Linked DNA regions of Nothobranchius furzeri. The protein of the gene in region 2 interacts with the protein of the main gene of each other region in a pairwise test. Links are inferred from orthologs where the notes say so. Each region holds a gene or a part of one and is shown on either strand. Other genes may lie near its edges.

The links.
Region 1: the proteins of cep19 (region 2) and calcoco1a interact in binary tests that used the Homo sapiens proteins (3 or more experiments, as listed by UniProt). The two-hybrid records come from large-scale screens. The link is inferred for Nothobranchius furzeri from reciprocal best matches to the Homo sapiens genes CEP19 and CALCOCO1.
Region 3: the proteins of cep19 (region 2) and cep43 interact in binary tests that used the Homo sapiens proteins (3 or more experiments, as listed by UniProt). The two-hybrid records come from large-scale screens. The link is inferred for Nothobranchius furzeri from reciprocal best matches to the Homo sapiens genes CEP19 and CEP43.

Annotation. Positions count from the first base shown.
Region 1 is NC_091755.1:25,996,240-25,999,897, forward strand, and holds part of calcoco1a (calcium-binding and coiled-coil domain-containing protein 1), read left to right. Parts: intron 1-246; coding exon 247-449; intron 450-609; coding exon 610-822; intron 823-919; coding exon 920-1,068; intron 1,069-1,135; coding exon 1,136-1,205; intron 1,206-1,280; coding exon 1,281-1,436; intron 1,437-1,526; coding exon 1,527-1,781; intron 1,782-1,932; coding exon 1,933-2,058; intron 2,059-2,199; coding exon 2,200-2,295; intron 2,296-3,141; coding exon 3,142-3,229; intron 3,230-3,412; coding exon 3,413-3,657; intron 3,658-3,658. UniProt on the Homo sapiens protein: Functions as a coactivator for aryl hydrocarbon and nuclear receptors (NR). Recruited to promoters through its contact with the N-terminal basic helix-loop-helix-Per-Arnt-Sim (PAS) domain of transcription factors or coactivators, such as NCOA2.
Region 2 is NC_091748.1:41,170,349-41,172,738, forward strand, and holds the end of cep19 (centrosomal protein of 19 kDa), read right to left. Parts: exon of another isoform or gene 1,185-2,390; coding exon 838-1,184; 3' UTR 552-837; downstream 1-551. UniProt on the Homo sapiens protein: Required for ciliation. Recruits the RABL2B GTPase to the ciliary base to initiate ciliation.
Region 3 is NC_091742.1:15,825,265-15,828,595, forward strand, and holds the end of cep43 (centrosomal protein 43), read right to left. Parts: coding exon 3,262-3,331; intron 2,181-3,261; coding exon 2,065-2,180; intron 1,942-2,064; coding exon 1,876-1,941; intron 1,579-1,875; coding exon 1,545-1,578; intron 1,148-1,544; coding exon 1,060-1,147; intron 973-1,059; coding exon 892-972; 3' UTR 601-891; downstream 1-600. UniProt on the Homo sapiens protein: Required for anchoring microtubules to the centrosomes. Required for ciliation.

The DNA.
Region 1 (3,658 bases), on a different chromosome or scaffold from region 2:
CTATGGCTTCAAAAGTAACACAATGAGCTGTGCTATATTTGTTATTGTTTATGGATTGCTTTTTGCCAGATTGCAGCTTTTAAGGCATAATTCCTGCAGAATGTTTTAAATAGTTTCAAATACCAGACCATAATCGGCACCATTTCCACATTGTAGTGTCTTAGGTGGTAAAGGCCTAGCTGCAAACCTGACTCTCTGTATATTCTATTTTTAATTGTTTCAACCAAACTTTTATTTTGCTTTTAGCCTCGTACCTGCCCAAACCCAGCTCCCAAGAGTATGAGTTTGTATACATTGATGCTAAAGGGGACGTGTGCTCCCGCAGCTCCAAATTCACCTTCTGTGCACCAAAGCCGCTTGACGATCTGGTGACACTCGAGGAAGTGTCCCACGGTGAGGATGGAGGCATAGACATGCTGTTGGTAGTACCAAGAGCTGAACTGCTGCAGGTGAGCATTAACAATAAATAAGCTTGATGTGAAAATGGATCAGTATGTCTTCAGCTTTGCATAAGTAATGAGTGTTGAGAAGACACTCGTCCTGTTGAGTTGGCTCTGGTATCTCACGCAGCCAATTTAGTACAAGAATGTTTTCCCTGTTTCTGGACAGAGTCGACTGCAGGAGTGCCTGCAAGTGCGTGCTGAGCTGTTGCACGAGCAGGAGGTGTTAAAAAAGCAAAAGGAGATGGAGAGGGATGACTTTAAGAGGGCCAAGGAGGCTTGGGACAGACAGCGAAGAGGGTTGGAATGTGATCTCGCCCGGCTGAAGGAGGAATTGATGTGGAGTCGAGAAAAGATGGAGGAGCTGGAAAGGAAGCAGGAGGTGGCTTAAGACTTTTCCCTTCACTTTTGCAGTGAAAAGCGTTCCTCTACTAAGATATGTTACTTATATTCATAATAAAATATCTCTGGTGTGTTAGGACGGGCAGGCTTTGGCAGAGTCTCTAGCCCAGGAGAAAGCTGCTTTAATGAGTGCCAAGAAGGAAAATGAAGTGCGAATAAGAGAGCTGGAGGAGGACATCAAAACCCTGACTCAGAGGACTGTGGAGAAAGAAACAGAGCTGGAGAGGTTGGTTGGTTTCTTCTCTAGATTAATCTAAGTAGTTTGGTTGTTTTTGACAAGTAATTTTGTGCAGGATGAAGGAAAGAGCCAAAAGAGCTGTGGCCTTGAGGAAAGAAGAGGAGAATGAAAGGAAGAGCCTGCAGGTATTTTCTGAACAGCCACGTCTGCTGGACTCCTCTCTGCCCGTGTTTGATTTTTCTTCTTTGTCCATCTCAAAGTCCAAGCTGGAGCAGACAGAGGTGGAGCTCAAAAGTCTCTCTAAGGAGTTCCAGAGTCTCAGAAACTCCCTGGCACAGAGAGACACCAGCGTCCTGCAGCTCCAAAACTCCATCACCACCCTCACACAGAAACTCACCACCGCTCACAGGAAGGAGGTCAGACATATTCCAAACACGCTTGTACGGTTGGGGCTTCAAGTGAATGTGTAAAATGAATCATGTAACACACTCGTGCTTTGTCGACAGGCGGAGAACGAAGCGTCGCTGAAAGAGATGCGGAGCCTTCGGGAGCATCTTCACATGAGTGAGCGCACCGCGGTGGGCTTAAAGAGAGATCTGAGCACCATGGTGTCGCAGAGGGACCACGGGCATGCCGAGCTGCACCAGGCTCGTCTGCAGGCTGCCCAGCTCACTCTTCAACTCGCAGATGTAACTATGAACCTAAGAAAAGAAAGCACCCACTGGGAGCAGGAGAGAGAAAGTCTGCAGCGCACTGCAGAGGTACGGAATATTAAACCTGCAGAAATTAGGGACATGAGTCAAGTTGAGATATGACACACGGTTAAGCTACTTCCTTGCCTCAGGTAATAGGTGGACATGTGGCAGAGAAAGTGTTTCATAGTGTGTGTTTCTGTGTGTGTTGCACGGACAGAGGGACCATGATCGCTTAGAGAAGCTTAACACAGAGATGCAGAGGGTGGAGGAGAGGCTGCAGGAGGAAAGGATGGAGCGAGTGAAGCTGGAGGTTGAGCTTGGAAGAGAAAAAGATTGCAATCGAGTGAGAAAACGTGCACAAAATAAATAAACACAGACTTGATAGCAACAAGAAGGACATGATGTCACAAGCTCTAGTGGGATTGATGGGACGTGTTCACACCTCATTTGTCACTTTAAGATGTTTATGATTTCTGGGCTGCAGGTTCAACTGAGTGAAACCCGGAGGGAGCTCCAGGAGCTGAAGTCCTGCCTGAGGGTCGCACAGAAGGAGAAGGAGCAGCTGCAGGCAGAGAAACAGGTCAAAATCAGGTTTATGTCCCAAGTTCTCACAAAGACTCTGGGTGCAGAAGAGTTTGCACGTTATAAATAAAGGGCTGGCACTTACTGAACGAATGCACATCGACTTTCATGCCCGAGTTTTTAAACTGAGATCATCTTGTGTGGAGAAGCATTGAAGTGTGATGCTATGGTTGATCACCCATGTTTGCATATTATTGCAGACATGCATGCCTGCAGACATTTGTTCTATGAAGTATATTTATTTACAGTTTGGTACATTTGGTGTCACAGCTCAACCTTAAATTTCGACAATAGAATGATGTTTGCTGTTAACTTCATTTTTATTTTTTAAATCTTGGTTTTAGAGAAATCCTAATGCCAACCTGCAGGTTTACAAGTACGGTGAAAATACCAGGTGTTGTGGATCCTCTCTCTGTTGTTACACTCTTGTTATTGTGCTGTATAAATTGTTTATAGTGCAATATAAAATGGTGGGTTTTTCAGGGCAGCTGGCTCTGGGGCTGTTAATGTGCCTGCAGAGTTTGCTTCTAACTAATTTCACGTCTGCCAAAAAAATAAGGAAATCTGTTTTGTAAACTCAAGAGTCCTGCTGCATTTCAGCAGCAAGCACACATCACTATAGCACATCAAATAAATAAATAAGGATTCAGGTACGTAGTGTAGAGTGACAGCAGTATTTATGTAATAATAAAAGTTGTATTTTTGTGTTGATGGAGTAGCAGTTTTATGTGACTTTGGTTTGAAGCTGTCAGGTGTCATAAGGGTTGTAAGGGTGATGGCTGCTGAAGCCGTTATCGGAGTCCTGCCCCGGTTTGTGATGTGATCCTTGTAATCTGTCTTGCAGGAGTTGATGGAGTACATCTGTCAGCTGGAGCAGAAGGTGGGAACAGTGACCAGCGCCGGGTGGGACGCGGCTCCCGTCGCCTCCACAGGTGAGTTGAGCAGCACATCAATCTGTTGTACGCCCTGCAGATGTGAACAGTAAAAGTGTTATCACTCAGGAGCAGCACTAAATACTGCTCAGAGGGGCTCGTGTTGTGTGTGGAAACAAGAGGAAGAGTGACTCCCCCTTCCCTTCTTTTTCTTTGTCTTTCTCTGACCAATCTTTATGGCAGGATGTCCTGACGCTGCCTTATCTGACTCTGAGGATGAGAGTCCCGAGGCTTTGCAGCTCCTCCATTCCCCCAGAACTCTGGGACACTACAGCTTATGTGAGCAGGGTCAGCACGACTCCATGTTGTTGTCAACCCCCCCTTCCTCCCCCAGGGACGTGAACAGGAGCGCGGTCGTCATCAACCAGCCGGCCCCGCTCTCCCTGCCACACCAGACCGCCGACTCTCAGGCACACAGCTCGGATTCGG
Region 2 (2,390 bases):
AGTCAATGACTGCAACTAATAGTGGGGTTTATTTCGAAAATATATTTTGATTAGTTTAAACCAAACGAGCAAATGTATACTGATTGAGAACATTTCAACAAAAGCCTATGACATTTTTGAATGTATCGTGGTACTTAGTGGTCAATGTATCCTGTCAACAGAATATCATATTTAAGCACTTTGAAATTTTCCCCTTTAAGATGTTTGATAATCCAGGCTAAGTTTTAATCGTGGTTATCTCCTGTTAAACTTTTTCGTAGCACTTCCAGTGGTTTCCTTAGTTTGGTCGATTTTCGGATGGTGGCCTGTGAGGTCCATAGTGATAAAGAAAACACTGGTACGTCAAACCATCTATGGAAATATTATATATATATATATATGTTTTGTATATTACAGTATTTTGTAGACACATTTTCCAAAGAGATATTTGTTGTATTGTTCATCATTGGGATACACTCAGATTTACCTTAATAGGATTTTAGCAGCTTTCTTCATATTTGACTGTGTCTCATTTAGGTGTAAGCCACAAATATAAAACCAAAGTCTATGTATTTTGTAAAATTCTGTCTTTTATAACAAATAAAGTGAACTATAACTTAGTTATGCCTTGTTAACTGTAGTTTGAAATGGAGCTTGTCACAAGCTAGTTGTGGTTGGGTCATTCGTCCTCTTAATTATGCTCCAATGTCTTGTTTCCCATATTCAACAATAAAGGTTTCCTAAACAATCTGGTAACTTCTGTAATTGTGTTCAGATAAACAACGCTTGTCAACGTGTCACATATTTGATGTTACTTTGCAATGGGTTTCTGATGGCATTCTCAGACACGTAAGAGCTTTAAAATCCATCGTCTGACTCCTCATCCCAGCTGCACTTTTCTTGAGATTTTTTGCCAAAGTCAACTTCAAGGTCATAAACAAAGTCTGGATCGTCTTTGTGCTTCTTGTTCATCTCAAACAGTTTGTCCATTTGGCCCTTCTTGCGAGCTAAGATTTCATCATCCAGCTTGTTCAGATCTTCATCTGCATTCAGCTGGAATGAGGCGAGGCTGTGCTCCAGACTGAAGCCCTGCAAGTGATCTCGCAGGATAATGTGGAGTTTCTCCAGCTGGCTCTGGGAAACTCGATCCAGATAGTCCCTGTGCCTTGGGTGGTTTTTCAGATTTTCAGCAGCTAGGCTGCAATCTGAAAGAAGAAATGATGGAACCAAGGTTAAAAACTTCTTCACCGATTGACCAGGTGTTCTTAGCTTGTAATTGAGGCACACGTAAAAGGGTTAGTTATGCTGTGTTCCAGTGTTTTGGTCACGTATCAAGTTGTTGGTAGATATTTAGATCCAAAGAATTCATCATCAGGTTGGTGAGTCTGTGACACATGAATGTAAAACCCTTTTGATGTTTAGGTCCTGGCTTCATAGATGTTTTAAGTCATCGATCGGATAGTTGTAGTGCATATTATTTTGAAATATACAAAAAGTACGCATTATTTTATTTTGAAAACACTTTCATCACATGATCGAGTTAGCAGCCATACCCTACAAAGCTCCAGCAGGTGTTACAGCAAAATCAGCAAATTCCTATCACTTTTTTGACCTAAAACTCTATTGGGTTCCTTTTAACTTAGAGGCTTCATTCAAAGTTTAACAAACTCACAAGACTTTCCTGTTTAACATATTAAAGAGACTTGTTGATGGATTTTACGGTTTTTCTAAAATCGCAGGTAGAAGTTGAGGTATGATTTGAAATTTTCAGAAAAATTCACAAAAGTTATAATGGGGAAAGGTAGGAGCGGTGACCCTTCCTTGCTCCATTTCTGGCGTTGTCCCGAGAGAACCGTAGGTCCGATTGAAATCAGACACACGCTGGCTTACAGCTAACGAATATACCTTCGTTTTGAGCTATAATTTATGACTGTAATCCAAACATTGTGGTCGTACGGTTCATTTGTTTGAGAAAATTCAAATTTAAAAAAATGTCTCTCCCCACTCTAAACTGAAAATTCTGCACTCTAACTTTTGAACTTCACATCTTCTGTGAACAACTCTTTACTACCCCCAGACCGTTTGGACTACCAAAACAAATTATAACTCAAAAAGTAGGATTTTTGTCAGCTTTTCAGAATGGGTTTCATTTTATCTGTAAGTGTTACCGTTCTTTCGCTACAAGCCTCAGAAAGAGGAGAGACCCAGCTTTTCCCTCATTGAAACCCATGTTAAAGGAACAGAGATTTTCTCCTCTGATCGGCTTCAGACAGCTAAAATGTTCTCGTCATAGCTTCTAGACAATTCATGGTAGGCACATAAAAATTCACACAGATGACCATCAAAGCTTTCTGCCACTCACACTTTTTGAATTTTTCAATTCGGTGCAGTACTTTTCGAATGGTGATGAG
Region 3 (3,331 bases), on a different chromosome or scaffold from region 2:
AGGGGAGTCGAACTGCGACTGTCGAAATGTGACTTTAGAGTTCCACTCCTAAGTATGTGACCGTGTTAGTAGTAGGATGTAATCTGCTGTGTCTCCATTTACTGTTAGAGGTTTATTTATTCCAGTTTATGGTATAATTCGAGATTGTGGAGAGTTCACCGCATTTGTTTGGGTTTTGGAGGAACAGGAGTACATCATCAGCATATAAACTCATTTTAGGTGTTAAAGTGTTAGTGGTGCGGGTGAAAGTGGGCATCCATGTCTAGTTCCTCTGTGAGGTGCGACATATTTTAAGATCGTTTGCTAAAACAGCTGCTTTTGTTTTATTGTAAAATGTTTGGATCTATTGGATAAATCCAGATGTTTCCAGCGTTTTAATGAGAAATGTCCAGATGTTTGTTCCGCATCAGGAGGGTTGTTTAACTTTGACCCGATGAATGCATGAGGCTGAATGGTCTTTATTACTCGAGGAGGGTGTTCCTGTTTGCTCTGGGGGGATGAGGTGGAAAGGTAACTTGTTTTATTGTTTAAATGATGTTAAAAGACTTTTACTTTGATAAGCTACATGTGATCATTTAGTTGATACTACAATAAAAAAGACTTGATTCAGTTAATTTATTTTCATTATTCACATCTTAGTTTAATATGGAGTAAAACTGCTTTCCGTACAGCATCACAGAGCTGAACCCATTCAAATGTGATGAAGAAAATTTCTTCTTCTCCTTTTAGACTGAAAAGTTACTTCCTGTTGTTACGACGACTCGTGTTTCCTCAGAAAGTTCCAGATAAATAGAAACAAATCTTTCATCATCATCATCATCACTCTCAGCAGCACAAAGCTCGTTAGTCGTTTCTATAAATCTGTACAGGAAGAGGTGCATGATGGGAGATTCAGGACACGTCCTCCATATAATCGGCGACGTTGCTCTGGCTGAGCTGAGAGACGCTCAGGTCCTGGGTGGACTCATCAAACTGCATCGACACACAAACAAACAACAGCGGGTTGAAACCAGCAGTTTAAACTGAACTCAGATCTGCTGCTCAGGAGTTTTTCGTCACCTTGTCGCTGTTTTCAGGACCTTCGATGGAAACTTCCTCAATCTCCTCGCCGATGCTCAGCTCTCCGTTGGAGAGGTCCGACCGGTGGCTGGAACACACAAACTTAGTTCTAATTCAAGCCGATCGGCTGGTTCAGAGCTCAGTAAAACCACCTCTTTAGATTGTTATAACTCTGATGCTTATAAATCAAAACCTTTAGAGCTTTTATAAGACCTGTAAACTAATTTGGACCCAAATATGGAAGTTTCCAGAAATAATGTACCAAATATTCACAGTAATTCCGATGATTCCGATTTGATCTCACCCGGTATTTAGAGTCCATTTGGACAGGAAAAACTCATTTCTAATTATTTTGAATAAAACTGGCGGTTTAGAGCTGAACGAGAAAATCTTGCATGAATAAATGAAATAAAAAGCTAAGGAAATCAAATCTGTGAGGATTAACCGACCAGCACACGCAGCAGCAGGTCACCTGGAAATCTCACCTGTTGAAATCATCGTCATATTCAACGTCATCATCTGTGGAAACAGGAAACCTGAGTTTAAGTTTCACAAACAGGAACACAAAGACTCCATTTCCTCTCCACTGTCGCTGCATGTTTGCTTAGTATAAGGATTGCTGTAAATACTCTGACACTAGTCAGTGACTCGATGCAACCTGCTGGGTTAATGACCTGACCTGTGTTGGATCGTTTACTGTGTGAAGGTCCCTGAGACGACTCTGGTCGTGGTTTGGCGCTTTAGAAATAAACTGAGCTGAATTGAAATTGAATAGGTCCAGAGGACGTTTCTGATTCCAAACAACCTGATTCCCACCTAGATGCAGAGACCCAGTTCGGTCGCTCAGCCCACGGAAGCCTTTCTCTCTGGAGTTTGATGCCCCTGCAGAACAGAAACAGATTATTTTATGGTTTGATCACAGATTAAAACTCAGATGTAGGAGGAAAACAACTCCGATTATTTAGAGACATAATCAGTATCCATGGTAACAGAGAAGAAACAAACCGTTTCTGCTGCGGCTCGGCTCCGATCCACTGCTCCCTCCTCCTCCTCCCGCTAGTCTGCAGCCCTCGGACTGAGACCCGACTGGACTCCCCCTGACCCCGGGCGTTTCCACCTTCCTGTGAGGAGAACCGGTGGTTCTGACCCAATCAGACGTTCATTTCTACTAAAAACTTCCATCAGAGGAGAAACATCTGAGGACCCAATCCAGAACACGAAGCTGCTGCTGGAACCTTCATCTAGATGACTTTCCTCATGGATTATGTTATAATCCTAATTTCTGTCCGTTTTTAGAGGAAGTGGGTTTGAAACCTGTTATATTAAGACCAGACGGCCTTTAGGATCTAAAATACACACACACACACACATGCATGCATGCATGCAAACACACACACAGACACAGACACACACACACAGACACAGACACACACACACACACACACACACGCATGCATGCATGCAAACACACACACAGACACACACTCACACACACACACGCATGCATGCAAATACACACACTTGCATGCACGCATGCAAATACACACACTTGCATGCATGCAATTACACACACACACACGCATGCATGCAAATACACACACATGCAAATACACACACGTGCATGCATGCAAACACACACACGCACGCATGCATGCATGCAAATACACACACGCATATATGCATGCAAATACACAAACACATGCATGCAAATACACACACACTCATGCAAATACACACACACACACATGCAAATTCACACACGTGCATGCATACAAATACACACACACACGCATGCATGCAAATACACACACGCATGCATGCATGCAAATAGACACACACACATGCATGCATGCAAATACACACACACATAAAAATATACACACACACGCATGCATGCAAATACACACACGTTCATGCACGCATGCAAATACACACACACACACACACACACACACACACACACACACACACACACACACACACACACACTCATGCAAATACACACACATATGCATGCATGCAAATACACACACGCATGCATGCAAATACACCCCCCCCCACACACACACACGCATGCATGCAAATACACACACACACATGCATGCATGCAAATACACACACACACACATTGCATCTGGGTGGAGGATGATAATAAATATCAGATGATGTTCAGGAGGACAGACGGGTACACCTGCAGCTCACCTGAGCTCTGAGCTGTGATCTGAGACAGGATTGTCTCGCTCCAACTCTGGGTCCCCAGCAAGGACCGAGA